Saccharomyces cerevisiae S288C: one gene and its partner. Changing the gene in region 2 together with the main gene of any one other region gives a genetic interaction. Each region holds a gene or a part of one and is shown on either strand. Other genes may lie near its edges.

The links.
Region 1: of PEX28 (region 2) and PEX25, extra expression of one rescues a mutant of the other (dosage rescue), as found in Saccharomyces cerevisiae (one study listed by BioGRID).

Annotation. Positions count from the first base shown.
Region 1 is NC_001148.4:336,747-340,507, reverse strand, and holds PEX25 (Pex25p), read left to right. Parts: upstream 1-1,887; coding exon 1,888-3,072; downstream 3,073-3,761. Other genes in the region: CAR1 (arginase), read right to left, coding at 1-564; YPL113C (glyoxylate reductase), read left to right, coding at 3,365-3,761. UniProt on the Saccharomyces cerevisiae protein: Required for regulation of peroxisome size and maintenance. Has a role in the import of peroxisomal matrix proteins. Imports RHO1 into the peroxisome. Also promotes peroxisome division and biogenesis.
Region 2 is NC_001140.6:395,120-399,491, reverse strand, and holds PEX28 (Pex28p), read right to left. Parts: upstream 2,242-4,372; coding exon 502-2,241; downstream 1-501. Other genes in the region: MTC6 (Mtc6p), read left to right, coding at 1-224; SKG6 (Skg6p), read left to right, coding at 2,833-4,372. UniProt on the Saccharomyces cerevisiae protein: Involved in the regulation of peroxisome number, size and distribution.

The DNA of each region.
Region 1 (3,761 bases), on a different chromosome or scaffold from region 2:
TGGAACCCATTTGAGCGACTCGGGACAATGTGGGACATCCTTGTTCAAACCCATTAGGAATGACACGGGACAGCCGTGCAAGTTTCCAGAGGGGGTGCTTTCTATGGTGTTTATATCAGCGTGGGCGTCTATCCATAAAAGACCAGCATCGGGGTATTTGTCCAAAACCGCGGATACAGTACCAATGGCTATTGAATGATCACCACCCAAGGTCAAGGGGAATCTGTTCGCCTGGACCACTTTCGACACGGAGTTGTACACCAACTTGGTGGCTTCACCAACCAAATCTGCTCTTTTAGCCTTGACACCGTCTATCATAACAGAGGAACCCCCAGTTGTGGAGTCCTTCTCCATTTTCAACTTTCCCACAAATTGGGCCTCGTCCATTGAGGGCTCTAATTCCGTAGACCAGCCCAAATCCTCTATGCTTGTTTGCAGACCATGCTTAAGCATGTATTTAGGGCCCTTCTCGACACCAAGCTTACCCTGACCGCCGCTGAATGGAGCCAGAACGATGGACAATTCGCGATTTTTGTAGTAGTTGTAATGAGGTCCTGTTTCCATCTTGATAGTAGTTATTGTTATTGATATAGTTGTTGTTGTTGTTTCTGCTAACTTTGAGAAAACATATACAGACCAAGAGAAGAGAAACAGTCTTAGATCTTGATAGAAAGTGGGCCGCAAGCTCTGCTTATATACTCTTTAGACCCCTCGGCGGCTACCGCTAAGTGAAAAATTCAGCGAGCGGCGATGCGCTGTTGATTGCCATTAGCAGCACGGTGCTTTGCGAAGGGCAAGAGCTAGAGACTATTCGCACTAGCCGATATTTTCGCGGCGTCTCGGCTTCTTGTAAGGGATAGAAAAAAACTGTTAATGGAAGGAGCAATCAAAGGGCGGGGATCGCGGGCGACGGTGCGGCATCGAAAAAGTGAAGAACCAGTAAAAATAGAGGTGGGGTTTATCAGTGTTGATATCTAAGTTTATGATAAACATTGATGAGTCAGGGATTGCACCCGTAGTTCATCCGTATGATGTGATGTTGTTTGTTTTTGTTTCATGTAAGGTTGCTAGAATAGGGTCCTGTCAGACAGTATGCGTAGCTTTACCATCATTTCGCCGCTATATGTGAAGGGCCGTAAATTGGATATACGGTATGTAAAAATCAGCGGAATATTATGATGAGAAGTGAGAAAATTGAAGTCAGTAATCTTGGATATTCAGAACTGTCAATCCTCAGTTTGGCCAATTTTATTTAATTTGTTAATAGCAGAACTTACCGGGCGGTCCAGTTTTGCCTACACGGTTTGGTATAAAGTTTAAAAAGCATATATACGAGCTAGATGAAGTATCCAATAGAGTTTTTCTCACGATGGTATTGGAATAGCTTCCTTGAAAGGTAACTACATACAGTGTCGAGGAAAAATAGACAATTACTTAAAGGAGTAAATGTTACTATACCTGAAAGAAATTAAGAGTCGCCATGCGTAGCAGTAATCACAACCGACATCGGGGAAGAGTGAGGGGAGCAAATTGGATGTAAATATTTTGGTGAATTTGCTCGGTACGCGCTAAACTCACATGATTTAGCAGCGCCGTGGCGCAGTGGAAGCGCGCAGGGCTCATAACCCTGATGTCCTCGGATCGAAACCGAGCGGCGCTAAATTTATTTTTTTCTTTTTACTCTTCATTTTTTTTCCAGGTCGGTGATAGTATATGAAATTCCGGTGGGATTGGGCTTATTATTTCAGGTTATATAATTTTTGAAATACGTTTTTCTTCTTTCTTCTCAGAATCATCGGTAATTTGTATGCTGGAGAAAGTAACAAATAGAGTCGATATCCTCAACTTCCCTGTAAGTCTTCACCTATAGAAACTGGTCGTAAAACAATGAGTCAGTTTGGCACGACAGATATCGTTTCCGGTTCAGAAACACCACCTTATTCTGGGGCAAGTTACCAGGACGCCCAGGATGACAATACCCATCCACATTCATCAGACGCCGGTGCAGAGAAGTTCAGTGCAGGCAGTGGAAGCGAGTCGCATACTGAATCCTCGAGAAGTGATGATGAGGATTCTCAAGCAAAAACAAAGATGGTGGATAATATTACCATCTTAAAATATATATTGGATTCTCTATCTGGTAGAGACAAATTAGCCAAAATTATCAAATACGCTCTGGATATATTAAAACTGTTTATCGAAAAGTCTAAGCGAAATTTAACTGTTTTGGACCCTTCCGTATTAACGTACTATACCAAGATTTTGAAAAATCTGACTGTAAAAGTCGCACTAAGGCATCCAATCACGGTAATTAAAGTACTTCTCCTGTCTCTTTTGAGAAATTTTGACAAGAAAATTGATTTTATCAGTCAACAATTAAGTACTTTTAGATATATTTTAAGGTTTGGCGGCACACCATTCCGAGTGTGCAGTTTCTTGGGGAAATTCAATAAAACCAGAAAGTGCAACTTTCAAATTGACCAAATTAAGAAAATATGGTTTAATGAAGCTTCATTGAGAGAATTTTTGGACTTGTATTATGGTATCTTTGATGAATTAGACTTGCTATACAAATTGAAAATATGGACAAATAAATCATTCTATTCCTTTGTCAGTAGACAAGAGTCTCTTGCATGGCAATACGACATTCTTTTAAGCTTGAAGGACCATTGGCTCAACCTGCAAAGCTTACAGAAGAGACAATTAGAATTGGAAGTGCAACTAAAAGTTCAAAATAACGCGTTACTACTCTCACCCATACTGATGCATCAGGCCCATAAAGACGATGGCTCACAATCGCCAATTAGGAAACAGTTGTTAAATGACCTAAATGTTAATAACGACGCAGAGGTGTTAATACACAAACAACTAAAGGCCATCAAGGATGAAAAGACACTTGTTTATTTAGATATTGCAAGATTATCGTTTGATTGCATGGCTAATACATCAGATATTCTAAATTTAAAAACTCCAAAGGGAACGTATGCCGTTCTGTCCCTGGGATCCGGCTTAACTGGACTGGTTAAACTTTGGATAACAACAAAGAGGTCACTTTGCTCTTCAAAAGATTGATATATAAAAATATGTATACATATAGATATGTACATATATATGTGGCGAATAATGTTTTACCTCTGCATTTGTATTGTTATTTGATTCGTTGAATAAGATAGTTTGGCGCTCGGTTTTTGCTCTTTTTCTTCCGTTTTTATGTCATTGGGGTGGCGGTAGTCATTCCGTTTTACGGTATGTTTATTCTGACACTTTGACGCAGATCTAAAAGGTGGAGTGTGGAGTACAAATAGCTCTCTCTCAAATACAGAAAAATACTTGAGTGTACAAAAGTAGCAACCTTTAAATAACAATGATTACTTCAATTGACATAGCAGATGTAACTTATTCTGCCAAACCAAGAATTTTGGTGCCTTATAAAACCCAATGGGAAGTCGCCAGTCATCTTCCTGAATATCGCAAACTGGCAGAAAGGGTAGAATTCTATAAATATGAGATGTCCACAAAGGATGATTTTGTTAAATTTTTGGAAACTCATAGAATAAACGGCTTTTGGCTCACTGAGGAGTTTTTCACTGTGTTAGGAAACCCTTCGAGTTATATTGAATTCTTCCCCGCATCTTTAAAAGTAATCCTTGTACCATGGGTCGGCTGTGACTTTATTGACGGTAAGTTATTAAGATCGAAAGGTATCACTTTATGCAACATTGGACCACATGCTGCTGACCATGTCACAGAATTGGCTATTT
Region 2 (4,372 bases):
GTTGGGTAAGTGGTGGTCCTTATGCTAGTTGCCCATATGAAAAAGTCATTTCTAGGAGAAATTTCGTAACAATGATGGTCCCTGCGTCAGTCTGTTCCTTTGCCCTACTGTGTATTGTCGTTTACTTGAGTGTATTGAGGGTCCCCATTTATGATAATAGAAAAAATTGGAGAAGAGTTATCAATAAAATCTCTAAATCCGAGCTAGAAGGTGTCCCTTCTTAAAAATCACTTTTTTTCTGACACTTTAGAATTTTCTCAAGTTTTACGACATTAAAACTCAAGTAGTGCTTTTTTTCGTTTCATTTATTATTAATTCATATATAGCATTTCTTAAAACAAAACTGTATTATTTATACTTCAAAAGCGCATTTTTGTATTTTACCTAGTAATATTGATACATAACATTTTTTTTTCTAATATCTTTAGGAAAAAAGTACGTAATACAATGATTTCCCCAAGAAGAGGGGTGGGGTTGTAGGTGAAGGAAAACAATTGTGCATTATGCTACTGGTGTTGCATTCTTAATAACACGATGTATCAGTCTCCTCCTCTTGAACATTGGATCAAATAAGAATTCGCCGGTAATTGGCAGATTCAACCCACGTTCTACCACCCACCTATCCACATCATTGTCAATTTTCCACTCAAAATTAGGATCAAATGACCAGCCTGTGGGGGGAATAACATCAGCCAAAGAATCTACTCCCGGTGGGAATTGCTGTGCTCTTCTATACGGATCTTGAGGATCGAAAATTCTATTTGAATATCGGAAAAACTTCCAGTCGTTCGGCAGTAAGGCCTTTTTATATATTTCAAAAATCTCGATGAATTTAGTTTCCGGTTGTTCATCGAATATCATGTTAAGCGCCTGGTGTTCTCTTTTTTTCAAGTTTTTGTATTCTTTTCCCATTGTTCCTGTTTTGAAAAAACTTATTATTTTTGGATGAGCTCTTGGATGCATATATATCAGTAAGCACCAGGCGAATATGCTACATACATAGCTCCAATTCACAAATGGTGATAATATTTTTAAGAAAACAATCAAAAGAAATCCTGTAAAAAAACGTTTAGTGGAGCACTCTTCGTTTTGAAAACTAGAAGACTTACGAAGAAAACTATTGATTGCCTCAATAACATGAAGGGTACCAGAGGTCATGTTTTGCATATCGCGTAAATTAATTAGTACTTTCATTCCTTGTTTCAATTCCCCTGTGTTTTCGGTTCTTTTATCTAATTCTGATATTTCGTCTATTTCTTGATTTCTTGATTCCAAAGTGTCCATAAAAGATTTGGAGAAAAACTGTTGACCGTAGCTGTACTCATTTTTTCCCTCATAGCACACATCATATAACAATGATGATCCGTGATTCCGTTTCAGAGGATATATACTCCTTTGTAAAGGATGTTTACGCACATAGCCAGGAACTACAATACCATAGACAAAGCGGAATATAGGCAAAATTACCAAGTACATTGGATTAAAACATATCAAAGTGAATAATATTAACGACGTCACCGTCCCGGTAGGGTTTCTCCAAGTCAGCAGTCGAACTATGGAGTCCTGGAGTTCAAATATTGAGCCCATTTTCTTAGACAATTTTTTGAAATTACTACCCAATGTAGTTGCTGAAAACACGGGAACCCTTCCTGTGTCTAGATCATGCTCAATGGTGGTTTTGCTACTAAAATGCTCTCTTTCTGGTAGCTTTTCAGGGACCAACCTCGATATTAGTTTATCCAAAAATACATCGATAAAAGGATCTTTTTCACTATTGGAAGTCATAGGTTCTAGAGCTGGCCCTGATTCGGTTTCATCGTCATAATATTCGGGCGCGCCCTCAAAGTGCGCTGAACACTTGAAAACACCATCGCACTCCCTGCACTCTTGCTCTCCATACGAATCATTTACTGAATATTCCGGAGTACTTGATACTTCTGATGAGTGGGCAGTCTTCAGGCGCTCAATGGACGTACTGAATAATGAACCAGCAATTTGTTGGAGTAGTTCCTTTTTGCTAATGCCTTGGCTTGTTGCGGAGGAGGCGGTTAGCGAAGGATGGCTCATCTCAGAATTTCCGCTGGAGGAGCTTCCTGATAGATCTTCTGCTACAGTTGGCGATTTTGATATTGCTGCTTCTGCCTCCAGTATAGAATCCAACACTTTATTGTATTTGCCTGCGAAGTAAGATTTGACAGCGTCTTTACTCGCGCTCCTGCGACTTGAGCTGGTCTCACTCATTTGCTGAAGATATATTATCTCTTTGTCACCCTAAATACCTGCGTTTTTATCTTATTCATTATGGTTCTATCTACTGATGACTCCAATTCGTAGGCATTCGTCATATTTATGTCTATCATGTCACAATAAAAGGGAAGTTCATCGCGGCGGAAATAATAAAAGCCATTCCACTAACCCTAAATAGCCCTTACTTATTTCCTTTTTCTTGAAATTTTCTCAGCCCATTTTATTTCATAGACCTCGTTCAATTATTTAGTAGCCCTGACACGTTTTGAAATTCTTTAAATTTTTTTTTTTTTTTTTTTCGCGAAGCGATAAACTTTTTTGCAGCTCGAAGAGGAAAACTGCTCACCCAAATAGGAAAGTTCATCGAAAAGACAAGGTTTCTTCCGTATTTTTTCTCTTTTTATCTCAATAAGAACTTTTAATAATCAATAACAAACTCATGGTGAAGCTTTTGTGGGGAGCAGGCCTTGTCTTTATCCATATCGAATTTTTCACTGGTTCTTCTTTTCATTCTTTCATTACCTTTCATAGTTTTTCGTTGAACTCATATAGCGTCACATAGTTCTAACAAAGATATAGTTCGCGATGTACCACACCCATATGCATGAAAGTTTAATATCTGTGACTTCAACGGTAAGTGTTTCTGATGCGTCTTATGCTTATGCAAGGCTCACTAGAAGAGACGATAGCGATTCATCTTCTTCCTCAGCATCCAGCACGAAAAATAGCAAATCTGCTGAATGTACAGGCTCTAAACAGCAATGTCAATTACCCACAGATTCGAGTCACAGCACCAGTGTAACTGTTGGTGTGGCTGTTGCGGTACCAGTAGGTGTCATTATCATTGTTCTGGCTGTGATACTTTGCATTGTGTATAGGAGAAGCAAAAAGGAAGCTGAGGAAGATAATGATCCAGATTTCGAAGGAGATTCTGAATTTTTACCGACAATGAAGGATTATTCACCTGGAATAAATCATTTGTACTCTAGCGACTCGCAGCAAGACTTCATGGAAAAGACCTTGCAACAGCCGCCTTCAGATCCCTTTGTTGGTAGCATGCATAGTAGTAAATATAATGTGAGAAGCGCTACCCCACCTGCAATTGGTCGGTCATGGTACGTAGACCCGTTTCAGCTTCCACAGGAATCGAACGACTCTAACAGTTTGAGAGATTTTGCCATGAGAGTACAAGAAGATGGACTAGGTGGCTATAAAGTTGCGGCCGAGTCTAGAAATGCCAGTCAAACGTCCTTGCATCCTGATAACTTTTCGAATTGTACACCAATAAGAGCGTCTTCAAGATTTCAAGAGAGTGAAAGCTTTCGATCTCACGGTAGCCCAATCCATAATAACCAGCTTTCCCGTGGTTCTGCCACAGAAGGTGCCAACAAGCAGTTTACATTTCCTAATGAAGACAATGATTCGTCCTCAGTTAGTGAAGAGGCTGAGGTTTTGAATGAGTCAAATGAGTCTGCAAGCAATGACGCGTTCGAATTCGAACTTGATAATAGTTCAGAAAAGACACATGAAAGGAATCTGCGTTTTGGTAAGGATGATGATAATTATGAACTTCAAGATATCAGAGAAGCTGAACATATGAATGATCGTAGTAGCAGTAAAAGTCAAGATGATGATTACTATGTATCACTCTTATCCCCTAATGAAGAAGAAGATATTAAGAGAATGAAAAGTATTTATCAAGTTTATTTGGATAGAGCTAAAACAATGAAAAAGGAAGAGGATAAAGCAGATAATGCAAATGATATATCGCAGGAGGAGAATAGAGTGGATAATATAGTCCAGAATCCACTGCCTTCTATCAAAATTAATAATAACGACAATATCGACAATAATGAGGTACCGGAAGCAAAACACCTGGTGAAAGAAGCACTTCCTCTAAACAATACTAACTTGGCAGAATATGGTCCAGAAATGGCCCAAAGCCAGAAACAATATCCAGTGCAGGATACACTCACCGTGAACGATACGGAAGCAGCGCCTTCCAATAGAATTGCTTCCTCAATTTATTCCGAAGCAATTCAGCCGTTGAATTATCAGGATCAATATCAACAACAGGAACAATCACCAGTATATAATGGCCACACACAGTATCCTGGCAATGGAT